2 linked regions of the Elephas maximus indicus genome follow. The protein of the gene in region 2 interacts with the protein of the main gene of each other region in a pairwise test. Links are inferred from orthologs where the notes say so. Each region holds a gene or a part of one and is shown on either strand. Other genes may lie near its edges.

Region 1 (7,555 bases), on a different chromosome or scaffold from region 2:
CTTGAGCAACTACCAGACATAGGCTAGGCACTTGTGACGTAAACGTCAATCAGATGGAATTTCTGTGCTCAGGGAGCTGGGTATCCAGTGGAGTAGACAAACTAGCAAGTGGATGCTTACAACAGGGTCAGGAGGCTCCCACATAGATACACACTGGGTGCTGTGCTAAAGGCATCTCCCCAAGGGTTGGGGAGAGTCCAGAAAGGAGTTTCAGAACTGAGTCCTTAAAGACAACTAGAAGTTAGGCAGGAGAAGTAGGGTAAGGAAAGAAGAAAGAAGAGGGAAGAGCGAAGGCACTTGACCAATTCTGGGATGTGCAAACAGCTTATTTCATTGATGTTAAGAGTTATCAACCCCCCCCCCCATTTTAATTCTCTAAAATTGGGATGTACTTAACAATCCACAGCGTCTTACAATTTTAATTTTGGTGACAGATAAAGTAAAAGTGCAGCTTAAAGCACCCTAAAGCAAGTGAAGCTTAAGTTTTGGAGCCGTTCATTTGCATGGGCCCCTTTCAAGGCCTTATACTTAATTTTATATTTGTAATTTTTAGTTCACTTTCTTAAAGTGGGCATCCCAAACAGTATATGCTTCATGCCTCACAAATCTACATCTCTCGTGTGTTTCAGGCGATTGGTAATTCAGTAAGGCTAGAGACTGGTATTTATAGAGGATGGTGCATTAACAAATTACCACAAATATGGCTTAACAACAGAAATTGATCCTCTCATAGTTCTGGAGCCAGAAGTCCAAAATCAGTATTACTGAACTGAAATCCAGCTCTGCATCTCCATCTTATACCAGGGCCACACTTCCTCCAGGAGAGAATCCTTTATTTGCCTCTTACAGCTTCTGGTGGCTGCTGGTATTCCTTGGTTGGTGACCGTATCACTCCAGCCTCTGCCTCTGTCTTCACATAGCCTTCTCCTCTGTGTGCGTGTGAAATCTTGCTCTCCCTCTCTCTTTTAGGGATACTTTGTGATGGTATTTTGGGCCCACCCAGATAATCCAGGATAATCTCCCCATCACAAAATTTTTAATTTAATCACATCTACAAAGACCCTCTTGCCAAATAAAGTAACGCTTACAGTTTCCAGCCATTGGAACCTCATATCTTTGGAGGACCATTTTTCAACCTACCATAGATGATAGCGGGAGGGCCGGAGAGAGGATGAGTGGCGAGAGGTTGGAGATTTATGATCTAATTTCAGTTTATGACAGCCACATTCATTCATCTGTTGGCAGGTTCTGTACATTTTTCCTGTGACAGGGACTCCTAGTTCTCCCCCAAACTGATTCTTCCTTCTTCTATAAGTAATATAACTTTCTAACTTTAGCCAGGCACATGGCCACCCTGAACAAAGACTATTTCCAGCCTCTCTTGCAGTGAAATGTGGACACTAGACTGAGTTCTGGCCAATGGATGTAAACAGAAAGTGTGTCCTTAAAGTCTCCTTAAATGGCAGTGGTGTCTGATTTTCCCTCCCTTCTCTTTTGCTAGCATGACTGTGGACATGATGGCTGGAGCTGGAGCAACCATCTTGGACAATGAGGTTACTTTAGGAATGGGGGCCACACATGGTGGAACAAGATAGGAAAAGCCTGAGTCTCTTACACTGTGGAGCATTACATTGACCTTGCCTGAATTGCCCACTTCTGGATTTACCTAAAAGAGAAATAAACTTCTATCTTGATTCTGACTCCCTGAGTTGATTCCAACTCATAGCGACCCCAGAGGGTTTCTAAGGCTGTAAATTTCTATGGAAGCGGACTGCCACATCTTTCTCCCGTGGAGTCACTGGTGGTTTCAAACCATCAACCTTTTGATTAGCAGTCCATCATAGCCAGTGAACCACCAGGGCTCCTTTCTATCTTGATTAAGACACTGTTATTTACTTATTGTTATCTTACAGATAAACCCATTTCTAACTAACGATCCATTGTACTGTATGTAAGTCCTCACCATCCTCCTAGTCAGAGTTACCAATATTTCTTTCCTGGACTTTTGAACGAACCCTGGTGGAACAGTGGCTGAGAGCTATGGCTGCTAATCAAAAAGTTTGGCAGTTCAAATCCACCACATCTCAGTTTAACAATCTGTTCTTTAGGGAAGCTTTCCATGGTCTACTTTACCAAATCAATTGCCCCATTATATGCTTTCGTAGCTCCATATATCTCTTCTTAATAGCACTTACTGTAATTTAGCCTTTGCATTTTGCTCAAGATTATGTTTGGTTAATGTTTTTCTTTTCCATTAGATGATAATCTCCATGAGAATTGAGATACATTATTTTTTCCTTATTATTGTATCCCAGGAGTCGAAATCGACTTGATGGCAACTAACAATAACACCTACTATAGTGTCTGGCTCATATCTGACACTCAATAATATTTTCTGAATGAGTAAAGGAGTGGAAAATGAGTAAACAAGTAGGAGTCAGGTCGTGTGGAGGCGGGTGTGCCAAACAAGGAACTTAGACTCAATACTCAAGGAAATATAGCACAACAGTAAAGATTTTTAGCAGTGGAATGGAGTAAGATACAAATTATGGAAAAGTCATCTTAGACAGCAGTGTGCAGACTGCGCTGGAAGGAATCTATTTTGGAAGTAAAGTGACAAGTTTCAATGGTTGTAACAGATATCCAAGTGGGAAATGATAAGGGCTTGAGTTGAGGTTCTGTCAGTTCCTGCTTTTTTGAGAACTCTTCAGAGTAAACCAGGCTGTGTCTCAGTTTTCCCCACTCCTAGTTTGGGATCTGGCTTTCATGACTAGTTAGTGGATTATCCTTGTTCATCTGTTTTTCATCTTCCACTATGTTACTGCTGGTATTTTATTTCATGTTCTTCCTGTTTTTTAAAATCACTTTACTGTAATTTTAGTGGAGTTTTGGGGGGGAGAAAAATTAGATGCATGTAATATACCACTTTAACTTGGAACTCCCTATATTTTTGTTTTAACTCTGATAATTCTTTATTATTTTATTTGAATAAAGTTGTCTTTCAAATTGGCCAAGATTTTTAAATGACAATATCAAATGATGACGAAGCTGTGGATGAAAGAGGAGTATAAATTGCTACAAAACTTCTGGAGAGCAGTATTTCTCCAAAGTCTGAAAAATGTACATACTTTTTGAATCACAAGTTCTACCTCTAGGAATTTATCATAAGGAAATGATCTAGCTTTCAGGGTGTTCATTGCTGGATTGTTTATAATATTGAAAAATTACCCAACAATTGAGAGTTGACTAAATAAATCAAGTATATAGTCTTTAAATATTATGTTGCAGAACCAAACTTCTCAAACATGGTAATTTGCCAAGGAGTTATGTAAAGCCATAGAACAAGCTTAGCTCATCTTTCTCCAGCATCAGTTTTATCAGTTTTTTGGGAGTATGCTGCCATGGAGTCCACCCTCACTCACTGCAGCCCCGTGTGTTACAGAATAGAAATGAGCTCCACAGGGTTTTCTTGGCTATAGTATTTATGGAAACAGGCAATGCTGGTGGGTTCGATCACCAACCTTTCGGTTGGTAGCCAAGTGCAAACCACTTGCACCACCCAGGTACCTGTGGCAGAGGCTACTAGTTACCTGTGCCAGTGTCCATTCTCCCTTTCTTCCTCGGTAACAAAACTCTGATTTGTAGCAGAGGATGTTACTGTTCAGAATAAAAGACTGTTGTACATTTCCCGGTCTCTGCTGTGGGTAGGTGTGGCCTTAGGACTAAATTGCAGACCAATGAGAAGTCAGTGCAAGTGTGAGAGTCTTCCAGGAAGGCTACCTCGAAGGAGCTGACTCAGCGAGAAATGAGAGGGGACGGGATTTAGGCCTTTTCCTGTACTCGAAAACTTCTGCTCGGCAAATAATAATACGGTGAAAAGAAATACAAAAACGTTTAAATATCTAATTTGAGGGGTGTAGGAGGAGGAGAAAAAGGGGGGATGTGAGAGTGAGAGGACGGTTGATTAATTTCTGTGAGGATCCGGGGTGCTGATTTTCTTTTATCATTAAGTCCAATCAGAAAAGGCTGACAACGCTTATACAAAGTGCTTGCGGTAGAGACTCTTTTTCGTGTTTTGTACAGTGCCAATATCTAAATCTTCCAGATAAAACAAGTACAGCTGTGGCATTATTTCACTCCTCCTCCAAATGTGCCTTGGATCTAATTTGCAGGGATTCAGGATTTACAACCGGTGCATGTGGATTTCGAACTGTGCTTCTCTTCGGTATCAGAGAGCCTGAATTTTGCCTAAGTCTTCGACGGAGTGGGCCCCCGTGTAGAAAAAGAGACGACCGCTAAGACGATGCGCTGTGAAGAAGACGCTCGCTGGGTGCCAAACCCTCGGAGTGCGGGGCGGTGCGAGCTGCGGCCCCGCCCCTCTGCGAAGCCAATAGCTCGGGACGGGAGTGGGAGGGGCGTGGCGAGCCTGCAGGCGACGTAGTGATTGGCACGCCGGCTCCTGCTGCCGGCGAGGCTGCCCCGAGGTCTAGCCTACGAGAATCCCAGGCGAGTGCGCACCCACAAAGCTTGTCCTCTCTGGGGCACCGTAGTGCTTTTACCCAGGCAAAGGGGGCTGGGCTGGGCTGGGCTAGGCTAGGCAGGGATCGGCTGGGCGGGCCGTCGAATTTCGGCTCAGCCCAGAAAGGGACCCTGATGGCTGCGGTCTTTCTGGTGACGCTCTATGAGTACTCACCGCTCTTCTATATCGCGGTGGTTTTTACCTGCTTCATCGTGACCACCGGCCTGGTACTGGGATGGTAAGTGCCCTAGGGCTAGGCGGAAGGGGCGAAGGGGCGGATTTGGGAACGGGGGAAAGTCGCGGTGAGCTTCGGGGGGCATCGGAGTCTGAGCGCGGACGAAGGCTGGGGCGCCTAGGGCTTTAGGGGAGCCAGCGCTAAGGGCTCCAGCTGGCCCCGGGAGGAAAATTAGGTAAACACCTACGTCACTGCCCTGCATCTCTGTCCGGTCTCCGTTGCTGCGAGCGCCTGGGGTGATGCTGAATTGGGGTGTTCTACCAGGTTTGTTCCAAAGTGATGAGCCTGGGGTAGAGTGACCAACGGCTTTCTATCCCGGATTGGCGTCTACTGCGTGCTCAGTACACACGGTGAATCAGTCACTTGCGGCACAGTGCACAGATGTGCACCCCCGTCCTTGGGAGTGGACAGTAATGAGGTTGATTATTGTGTTTTTGTCCTGAACCGAGCATTGGCCTTAGATCTTTCAGCGTAATTTACAACTGAACTTTCTTACCGTTTGAGAACTTAAATGGTTTGTACACACATTTTGAAGTATAATTTAGTCGGTAAGAACTATGGAATCGTAATTTTAGAGCTGAAAGAGACCTTGGAGATTACTTACACCAACGGATATACCTATTTGAGTCAAGAAGAATAGACTGTTAGTCTTCGAACAATTCTTTTAGCTCAGGGATTCTAAAATTTCTCTCTTGAGGAGATGCCATTGTATCATGTTTAGACAAGCCTTATAAATACAGCTAGTTGAAACTATCTTACTAGACGACAACAGATTTTTCTAAGCTGCAGCCTCCAAAGTTCCTTTGAGAGGATGGTGATTTCAAATGGATTAAACAGTGGTTCTGAATGGATAGATAACAGCTGTGGCCTGAAGAGGTCAGGTGGCTCTGCTGAGGGGAGAGACAGGAGCTGAATTTTGAAGAATGAGTATTTTGAAAAATAAATGGAATTGAATATGTATAGTAGAAAAGAAAATGCATTTCAGAGAACACAGTGTGAACAGAGGGGCAGAAGAGAACATAGCAGTTGATAGAGTAAATTGTAAAATGAGTTTAAAACTACCCTTAGGCTGTATATATATATATATATGTATATACATATATATATATATATATATATAGTGTTAAAGGAAGGACACAGGCCTATATCACTTTCTGAAAATATAAGCCATCTTTAGGAACTAATCACTGTTTTAACATTTCAACACAGCTCCCCACCCTGCCACCAACAGAGCATAAAATTCCTGGTTTGGGGTTGAGGGGGAAGGTAAGACCAATTACACAATTTGTTAATCTTAATCCACCAGGTTTTATTTCTTAATATATATAATTTTTATTGTGCTTTAAGTGAAAGTTTATAAATCAGGTCAGTCTCTCATAGAAAAATTTATGTACACATTGCTTTGTGCTCCTAGCTGCACTCCCCCTAATGAGACAGCACACTCCTTCCCTCCACCCTATATTCCCCATGTCCATTCAGCCAGCTTCTGACCCCCTCTGCCTTCTCATCTCTCCTCCAGACAGGAGCTGCCTATTTAGTCATGTATCTACTTGAACTAAGAAACATACTCTTCACGAGTATCATTTTATGTCTTATAGTCTAGTCTAATCTTTGTCTGAAGAATTGGCTTCAGGAATGATTTTAGTTCTGGGTTAATACAGAGGCTGGGGGGCATGTCTCCCAGAGTTCCTCCAGTCTCAATCAGACCATTAAGTCTGGTCTTTTTACTAGAATTTGAGTTCTGCACTCAGCTTTTCTCCTGCTCTGTCAGGGACTGTCGGTTGTGTTCCCTTGTGAGTGCGGTCATTGGTGGTAGCCGGGCACCATCTACCTCTTCTGGTCTTAGGCTGAGGGAGTCTGTGGTTTATGTGGCCCTTTTTGTCTCTCAGGCTAACATTTTCCTTGTGTCTTTGGTGTTCTTCATTCTCCTTTGCTCCAGGTGGGTTGGGACCAATTGGTGCAGCTTAGATGGCTGCTCACTAGCTTTTTTTTTTTTTTTTTAAATTATGCTTTAAGTGAAAGTTTACAATTCAAGTCAGTTGCTCAAACAAAAACTTATGCATACATTGTTAATGTGACCCTAGTTGCTCTCCCTACAATGTGATTGCACATTCCTTCTCTCTACTGTGTATTTCCTATGTCCATTCAACCAGCTCCTGTCCCCCTCTGCCTTCTCATCTTGCCTCTAGACAGGAGCTGCCCACATAGTCTTATGTGTCACTTGAGCTAAGAAGCACATTCCTTGCTAGTATCATGTTATGTCTTATAGTCCAGTCTAATCCTGTCTGAAGTGTTGGCTTTGGGAATAGTTTTAGTTTTGGGCTAATAGAGAGTCTGGGGGCCATAACCTCTGGTGTCCCTCCAGTCTCAGTCAGACCATTAAGTCTGGTTTTTTACTAAAATTTGAGGTCTGCATCCCACTTTTGCCCTGCACCATCAGGGATTCTCTGTTGTGTTCCCTATCAGGGCAGTCATTGGTGGAAGCCTGGCACCATCTAGTTCTTCCAGTCTCAGGGTGGTAGAGTCTCTGGTTTATGTGGCCCTTTCTTTCTCTTGGGCTCATGTTTTCCTTGTGTCTTCGGTGTTCTTCATTCTACTTTGCTCCAGGTGGATTGAGACCAATTGATGCATCTTAGATGGCCACTTGATAGCGTTTAAGACCCCATATGCCACTCTCCAAAGTGGGATGCAGAACATTTTCTTAATACAGTTTGTTATGCCAGTTGACCTAGATGTCCCCTGAAACCATGGTCACCAGACCCCCCCACCCCTGCTACTCTGTCCCTTGAAGTGTTTGATTG
Region 2 (8,025 bases):
ATACCTTTCCCAATAGCTGAACAGACCTGACAGTGCGGTCGCTGAACACGAAAGAGTGAGGGCTGGCGGGTCAGAGAAGCTGGAGGAGCCAGAGGAGCTGAGGGCAGGACTGAAAGGTTCCTTTGCCCTAAGCTGAAAGTACATGTCTCCCCCCATTTCCTCCGGACATATGGACACCCCCTTCTTCCTCAAGCATGGAAACCTCTGGTGGGACCCCGATAAGAGACTGAGTCATGCCTACCCTCACTCACAGGCCAGTCCTAAGTGGGCCTCCACATTGCTCCAAAGGGCAAGGGGAAGAGAAGGAACTGAACAGTGCACTGGGGGTGGGAGTGGCATGGAACAGGATGCCTGGAAGTGTGGGGAGAAACTAGCCTGTTCATTCTCTGGTCTGACAACTGTGCTCCCCTTTCCATCATTTTTTTATGGAACAGCAACATCAGCCCCCCCCCGCCCCCCGATCTTGTGTCCCCCTCCCAGGGAACTCCTCCTCCCTCAAGACATTCCTGAAATGCATTCCAGAGGAGTTGGGCAATGGTGGGGGTAGGGGTGGGTGGTGATGGAGTACAGGAGGTCAAATCCCAGCAAGGAATGGAATTTAAGTGTACTGGTGGGAAGGAACTTGGGGTACGTGGAAAACACAGTCAAAGCAGATGGTCACAAAGGGGGCTGCAGGAAGACAGGGAGTTACAGAGAGGGACAGAGAGAGAGAGAGAAAGCTGAAGACAAGCAGAGCGTAGGAGGGTTGGGGGAGTAACACTCAGTCTGTTACCAAATTTGGCCTCTGAGCCCGTAACCGCGGGCGGGGCGGGGGGAGTTGTGGGTGAGACTGACATATCCGGCCTCAGGCTGCTGGAGCCTCACTTAGGGCTGGACTGGGCAGCTGAAGGGCTGGACCTAACCTCCCCCGACACAGCCCCTCCCCACTTACACCCCTATCCCACACACACTCATCCTCCCCAAATGCACCCCAGCCTATGCACAGAGCTCCTTCCCAATAAGCTACCTACTTAGTATCTCCTTACAAACATGTTATCTCAATCTCACAGCTCTATACATATCCCGCTACAGCCTCTTTATCTTCCCGTGTAGGCCCATCCATACATGCAGCTGCCCACAAATACATCTTCATCTCCAGCACACAGCCCCCTACCCCAACATCTCTCCTTCCATTCAGTATACATTCTCTCTCCATTCACCCAGGAAGCATTCCTTGAGGGCTGTTATGGAGAAGGCCCTGGGTCACACTATCCAGTGGCTGGGAACTAAGCTGAGTAAGACGTAGCCTTTGCCCTCAAGGGGAGAAAAGCGGATCAGCTAAGCACAGAATTTAATAGAGAGCAGGATGAGCTAAGAGCCTGGAGGCGTGTATGCAGAGAAGATATCCCAATAGGCGAGGGAAGTGGAACCAAAAGTCTCCCTGAAAGACGTGCCATTTGAAGTTCGATTTTTAAAAACAAGGATAATAAAAAAGAAATAATGATCTATCATTTATTGACAAGGTATCAACTGCTTTGCATACATAATTTTGTTTAATCCTTACAACAACCCTGCAAGGTAGGTGCCCTTATCTCCATTTTTACAGACTAGGAACCTGAGACTCAAAGAAGTATATGTTCAAATGTACTTGTCCAAAGTCACACAGCTAACAAGTTGTAGAGCCAGGATCCGAACTCAGGTTTCTCTGACTCCAAGGCCCAAGCTCTCTCCACTACGCCAGCCGGAGATGAGTCAAGGGTAGCATTCCAGGCAGAGAATAGCATAAGCAAAGGTGGAGAAGCAGGAAATCGCAGAGGAGCATTCAGGGAAGTGAGTAGGCAGGCTGGTTGAAGCACAGGGTACCTGCAAGGGAGCAGTGGTGGGGAAGTTAGGGTTCGGATAGAAAGGCAAGGGAGGACTAGAGAGGAGTATGAGGTATTTTACCTACTAGAGGGCAGCAAGTGGCCAAGGGAGGCTTTTGAGCAGAGAAGGAACATGACCAGAACTGGATTTTAGAATATAACTCTGACAGTTATCTTGGAGATTGGTTAGAAAAATACCATATTAGCACAAGTGAGAGATATGGAAGCCAGAGTTAGAAGGTGGAGAGGAAGATGTCACTTAGAAAAAAGGTTAAGAAGTAGAACTGACAGGACTTGACAAGTCTGTCCTGTCAACCCTCAGAGACCAGGGCCTAAAGTCAGGTGGGGGTCCCATAGCTTCCTGTCATCAGTAGCCACTTAGTTTCTGGGACAGCTTGAGTTTAGGTAAAGGGGAGAGGAATCAGGTTGAGCTGGGAATGTGAGGATGAGGCTGCCAGGAAAAGGGGACAGGTATGTGGTTAGTAGCCAGGTAGGAGCAGGTGGGGCGTGGTCAGTGACTACATCAGGCTAGAGATGGTGGAATGATGGTGGCAGGAAAGATGAATATATGATAAGTCACTGGATCAGCACAGGGGAAGTAGAGGAATGAATATATGGGCAGTGGCTAAGTCAGACTCAGGGAAAAGATGGAGTGAGGTCAGAGGCCAGGTCAGGCTACAGGGGATTGAAAAGAGATGGGGCTGTCGTCAGTGGCTAAATTAGGTGGGGTGTGGGTACGGTGAGAGGACATTGGCAATGGCTAAGTAAAGCTGGAGCTGGGGGCGGGATGGGATGCAGCCAATGGCTGGGTCAGGCTGGGTAGGGGCTAGGGCTGTGGTCAGTGGCTGGGTCAGGCTGGGAGCGAAATGGGGGTGTGGTCAGTGGCCTGGCTGGGCGTGGGATCAGCAAGACCCAGTTTCCTCTTTGGGTCTCGTTTCCTCTTTTCTGTTTGGGGAGTGGGGGAAGGGGATCTTCAATTGGACCAAGAAATTAAAGGAGGCTTAGAATTGGAAGATGGCACAGGGACTGGGGGTATGTGGCAGTTGTGTTGGGTTGGGGAGGCTGCTCAGATGAGCAGATGGTATGCAGATGGATGAGTGGGTGAAAAAGGTAGAAGGGTGTTTTAACATGATGGGAAAGCTCAGGTTTGGATAAGGGTAAATTAAGGTAGGATGTGTGAATCAAGTAGGGAAGGCCTGGCAGAACTGAGGTTGGGAATAGGTGGTAAGCAGATGAAGAATATGGAGAGTTAAAGGCAAGGGAAGTACTTTGTAAGGGGGTATGCAGGAAGGGTGTGGAATGCAGCGCCAGGGATGAGAGCTGGAGAGGAGGGCTTAATATCTAGGGAATGAGGGAGCAGTAGGAGTTAACTTTCGGTAGATTCGGCCACCCTCTTCTCCCATGACAAGAGCATTTCCTTGGTCTGCTTCCCCCTTAGTCATCAGTCTCTTCTCCCCTCGGTAGTTCTCCACTTATGACTAGACATTGTGCATCTCCTGGGCCCCTGTCCCTTTCTTATCTCTCACCTTGTAAACAACACAGTCCAGGAAACCCCAATCCTCCATTTGTGCTGGCCACAGAAAGAAACTTGGATTTAGAGAGTAGAATAGAGAAGCTGGATTCCTAGTTGCCTGCACTTCCAGCCCAGATTGTCATCATTCTGGGTTAAAGAAGTCCCCGTGACTACCTAGGAATAAGACTTTCCCCCAAAGCAAGAGCATCTACCTAGTGACAGCTTCTTAAATTTCATCTACCTGAGATCAACTACCCTGACCTCAATCATAACCCCTAAAGCTGCCCCCTAATTCCTAACATTAACTCTGACCCTAACCAGTTTCCTGATTGCCAATACTGGCTTTGACAGTCGTCTCTTTCCTAGCAGAGAACCATATTCAATGCCTGATCCTAAATGCTGACCTGACTTTACCGTTAACATCAAACTCCCTGACCTTAACTCTAAATGCTGAGTCTTAAAACTAATATTCACTTGTATTTTTATTCCTAACCCACCCCATCATTATGTATCCCTAATATTGACCTTGCCAACTTCTGTAATCCCTAAAATGGGCGTCTAACCTAATTCCTGTTGTTGACCTTTAACCCGACCCTGAACTCTAACTTTGATTTAGGCTGTCCATCCCAGAAAACAAAATAATGGCCTCAATCTAAACTTTACATATAAAATAGGCTGAATTTACACTAATAACTCGAAGTTTCGACCCTGGCTTTATAACTCTTAAAGCTAACGTTAAATCCACCACCCAATCTCATCTAATCCCAAACTTAGCAAAGCGTTCCTACTCACATATCCACTATCAGCTAACCTCAAAACCTATTACCGCCCTGCGCCTCACTGTGGTCACTCCTCACCTTCCCTAAAGCCCACCGCAGGCAAAGGACTGCGCCTAGGAAAAGCCTGGCTCCCGCAAAACGGCCTACTGAGCTCCGAGACCAAGCCGAGATATATTGGACCCTGACCTCTCCAAAAGGACCCGAAACAGACGCAGGACTGCCAGCGGCCCCGCCCGCCCGCCTCCCGGGCCGGGCCTTGCGGCCCCACCCCGGGGCTCTAGCTCGGCCCGGTCCGGCCTACCTGAGCTGCCCGGCTCTGTGCCCCGCCCGCCGGCCCGCTAGCCCGGTCGTTCTCCCGGTCGCTCTGGGGCTCTGGCCTCGCCCTCCCGCCGACAGGCTCTCTCTCGGCCACTTCCGTCCCCGGAACGTCCCCCACCCGCGGGCGGCGCCCTGGGCCCGCGCTCTATGGTTGCCGGGACTGCAGGAAGCTGCTCTGGCCCCAGCTCTCGATGCTCGACAGCCGGCCGAAGACTGGCAGCCCCTCCCCGGCAGGAAGCAAGGGCGCGCACAATCCAGAGGAAACGCCCGAACTGTGCTCGAGTTCCCTTTTAGTCTGGAATCCTTCCTTTTTTCGCTCGAGGCGAAGGCGGAGCCGGATCACCCGAATTCCCGCCCTCAGGGTGTGCGGAGGCTGACGGGACGTCCCCACTATTTGCATAGCTCCTGGGACGTGGCGCAGCACCCAGGCCACTTCCGAGTTGGAGGGAACTCCATGTCCCAGAGTGCCATGGTGGCGAGATGTATTACTTCCGTTGTGTTGGAAGCGGCAGAGACTGGATCTGGGAGGCGGGTCCGCGTGAGAGTGACAGCTAAAGGCAAAGTGCGGCGAAGAGGGACCCGAGACCAACAAACAACTGGGCTGTGGTTCGTGCCTGAAATTCGGGGGTTGGAGCTGGGTGGCGGGGTGAATCCCCGGGTTTCTGTCCATTCTTGTCTGTAGTATGGAGCTGGCACTGGGTCCCAACGACCAAGACCTGCTGGGTTTTCTGCTAGAGGAAAGCGGAGATTTGGGGGTGGCGCCGGAGGAGGCCCTGGAGGCTCCGCTGGACTGGGAGCTGCCGCTCTCCGAGGTGAGTGGAAGTTCTGAGTAGGTGAGGCACGGGGCTGGGGGCGTCCATGAGGCATGGGATGGTGGTGATAGGTCAAAGCCTGTTTATTGAACCATGTGCAGGTACTGAGTGATTGGGATGTGGAGGATTTCCTGAGTTCCCTGCTAAGTCCCCCAGCATCGTTGAAGGCTCTCAGCTCCTTCAATCCCTGTCCTGTCAGTCATGATCACAACTACTCTCTCCCACAGGAACATGTCTCCGTAGATACAGGTGAGTCTGAAATATTTGAGGTTTATGGGGAGGAAAGTGCTCATGGGTCTGGCTATTCATACTTTTTCTTTTGCAGACAGTGGGAGCTGTGGGAAGGTGGCCCAGATGACTCCCCTGCAGGTGAAGGAGCCTGCAGAGCAGGTACTTGACTAACAGGAGGATTATTCCTACATTGCGCAAATGGGGGCAGGATTCCCCATTCCTCTGACAACCCCTTGCAACTCTGCTTCTCCCTCCCACCCTCAATAACCCCAGGAGATTGAGGAACTGATACTGACAGAGGAGGAGAAGAGGCTATTGGAGAAGGAGGGGCTTTCGCTGCCTGGGACACTTCCTCTTACTAAGGTAAGTCTCCCATTGGCAGAGCAAAAGCTGGAGGGAGGTTTTATGAGTCTCGAGTAAGCTAATCTTGTTAATTTTCTATCAGTAACTTGAAAAAGGACCAACCAAGAAAGCAAACCCACTGTTGTCGAGTCAATCTGACTCATAGCTATCCTATAAGACAGAGTAGAACTACCCCATAGAATTTCCAAGGAGTGCCTGGTGGATTCGAACCGCTGACCTTTTGGTTAGCAGCCATAGCACTTAATCACTACACCACCAGAGTTTCCCAAAAAAGGACAGAGGTGGGAAATTTAGCAAATTTGTTGGTAATGGGAAGCTGGGGCATATAGGTAATATGATGGATGCAAAATGCTGGTTTTGTGGGGTCTGAAACATACAATTTCAGTATTCTCATTAAGAAAAAAAAATCATAATTATCAGCACAATATTACTATAGAGCCTTGTGCAAGTGAGGGTCTCTGACACTTAGATTTCATTGACTTCGTAGTAATCCACTTCTGGCTGAATTATAGAATTAAGCTTTAGATCATTCAGTAAGGTTGGAGTAACAGTATAACAAAAATAAATATAAATTCCTGCGTTTATATTTATTGAGTGACTTCATAGGCCCGGTATTGTGCAACTGTGATGAAATCAATGTTCACTGACAGAATGGTTAAGGGAATTTAAATATAAATTTCTTGCAAGTGCAGTGAGTCAGCAGGTCAGCAGGAAGATACGGCTACTGAGTGAATGGGACTTGGAGGCTGCATCAGTAGAGGTGTTGCCTTCAGAAGTGGAGTGACTATCCTGTTCTCTTTTGTATTTGCCAGGGCACATCTTAGTATTGAGTTTTGAACCCAGATATTTAACAGATATTAACAGGATGGAATCCATCCTGAGGAGAGTAGATAAAATGAGATAAAATTTTTGTCCAGGTTTTTTTTTTTTTAAACTCTGAAGAAATGTCAAATGTCTTAAAATAACTAAGGAAGGTTTGTTCAACACGGCTTCAAAGATTAGATACTAGGTCAGTCCAATGGATAGAAATTATAAGGAGGCAGATGTGGGCTTGGGAGATTTAAAAAAAATATAAAATTGTTAAAAGTGGTCCGGGCTTATTAACAGAGATGTTAACACCTGGCTCCCAGCGGCGTTCTGCACAGAAGCCGAGTGCATACTGGTCAGGTGATTGAACTCATTTGCCTTCCAACTCTTCGGTCCAGTGTTCCTCTGATGATGCCCCTTCCCCCATCTTCTTCCAGAAGGAGGAACAAGCCCTCAAACGAGTACGGAGGAAGATTCGAAACAAAAAGTCTGCTCAAGAGAGTCGTAGGAAGAAGAAGGTGTATGTGGGAGGTTTAGAGAGCAGGTATGAAAGGAAGAAGGGCTCAAGGGTGGGGGGAACAGAGGTAGTTGGAAATGATTTTAAAGGGAAGACAGAGGTCATATCCCTGTTATTCCCCCCAGGATCTTGAAATACACAGCCCAGAATCTGGAGTTACAGAACAAGGTGCAGCTCTTGGAGGAAGAGAATCTGTAAGCAACCCTCCAACATTAGTCCTTTCCCATCACCCCCATTTAATGCTGCCCCACTCTTTCCCCTGTTCCACACTTGACTTCTAACTGGGCAGCTCCTATATGCAATCTGGTACTTAGCCTTCAATGTGGGTCCAGGAAGCTCAAAGTACTGGCAGAATTCACAAATAACTATAACCAAGAAAGAGAAAGGAAGGAGGAAGAAACACTTCAGTGGGTAGATGGCATTTGATAGTAGATAGGATTCTAGGGGTGAAGTAAACATTTCAAGCAGAGTGAACACACCACCATCTGGTTTGGCTGGAACTCTGACACAGGTGAGTTGGGACCAGAAGGTAGAGGTTATGGAATGCCTGGTGAGGACTATGGGCATCATTGATCAGGCAGAACTACTGAAGGTATTTGCCAAAGGAATTTGTCAGGGTGGAGAGATTATTTTTTTTGTTGTTTGTTTTTAATGGGGAGCTTTAAGCATTTTATCTGCAGAAAAGTGGTCACTGGCAAAAACAAAGTAAGAGATGATCCAGGGCACAGATGGAGGGGGTGGCCTTAACAGGAGAGTTTCATTGTATCTCAGTTACCAGGCCAGGGTGTGCTCACTCTCTCTTCTCTCCCTTCTCTCCCTCTAGGTCCCTTCTGGATCAGTTGAG

Evidence for each region. The genes of interacting proteins can lie anywhere in the genome.
Region 1: the proteins of CREB3 (region 2) and CGRRF1 interact in a two-hybrid assay, tested with the Homo sapiens proteins (2 studies listed by BioGRID and IntAct). The two-hybrid records come from large-scale screens. The link is inferred for Elephas maximus indicus from reciprocal best matches to the Homo sapiens genes CREB3 and CGRRF1.

What each region holds. Positions count from the first base shown.
Region 1 is NC_064828.1:66,802,114-66,809,668, forward strand, and holds the start of CGRRF1 (cell growth regulator with RING finger domain protein 1), read left to right. Parts: upstream 1-4,493; 5' UTR 4,494-4,653; coding exon 4,654-4,757; intron 4,758-7,555. UniProt on the Homo sapiens protein: Able to inhibit growth in several cell lines.
Region 2 is NC_064827.1:44,514,082-44,522,106, forward strand, and holds the start of CREB3 (cyclic AMP-responsive element-binding protein 3), read left to right. Parts: upstream 1-4,986; 5' UTR 4,987-5,134; coding exon 5,135-5,263; intron 5,264-5,364; coding exon 5,365-5,512; intron 5,513-5,588; coding exon 5,589-5,653; intron 5,654-5,767; coding exon 5,768-5,857; intron 5,858-7,101; coding exon 7,102-7,208; intron 7,209-7,306; coding exon 7,307-7,375; intron 7,376-8,004; coding exon 8,005-8,025. UniProt on the Homo sapiens protein: Endoplasmic reticulum (ER)-bound sequence-specific transcription factor that directly binds DNA and activates transcription. Plays a role in the unfolded protein response (UPR), promoting cell survival versus ER stress-induced apoptotic cell death.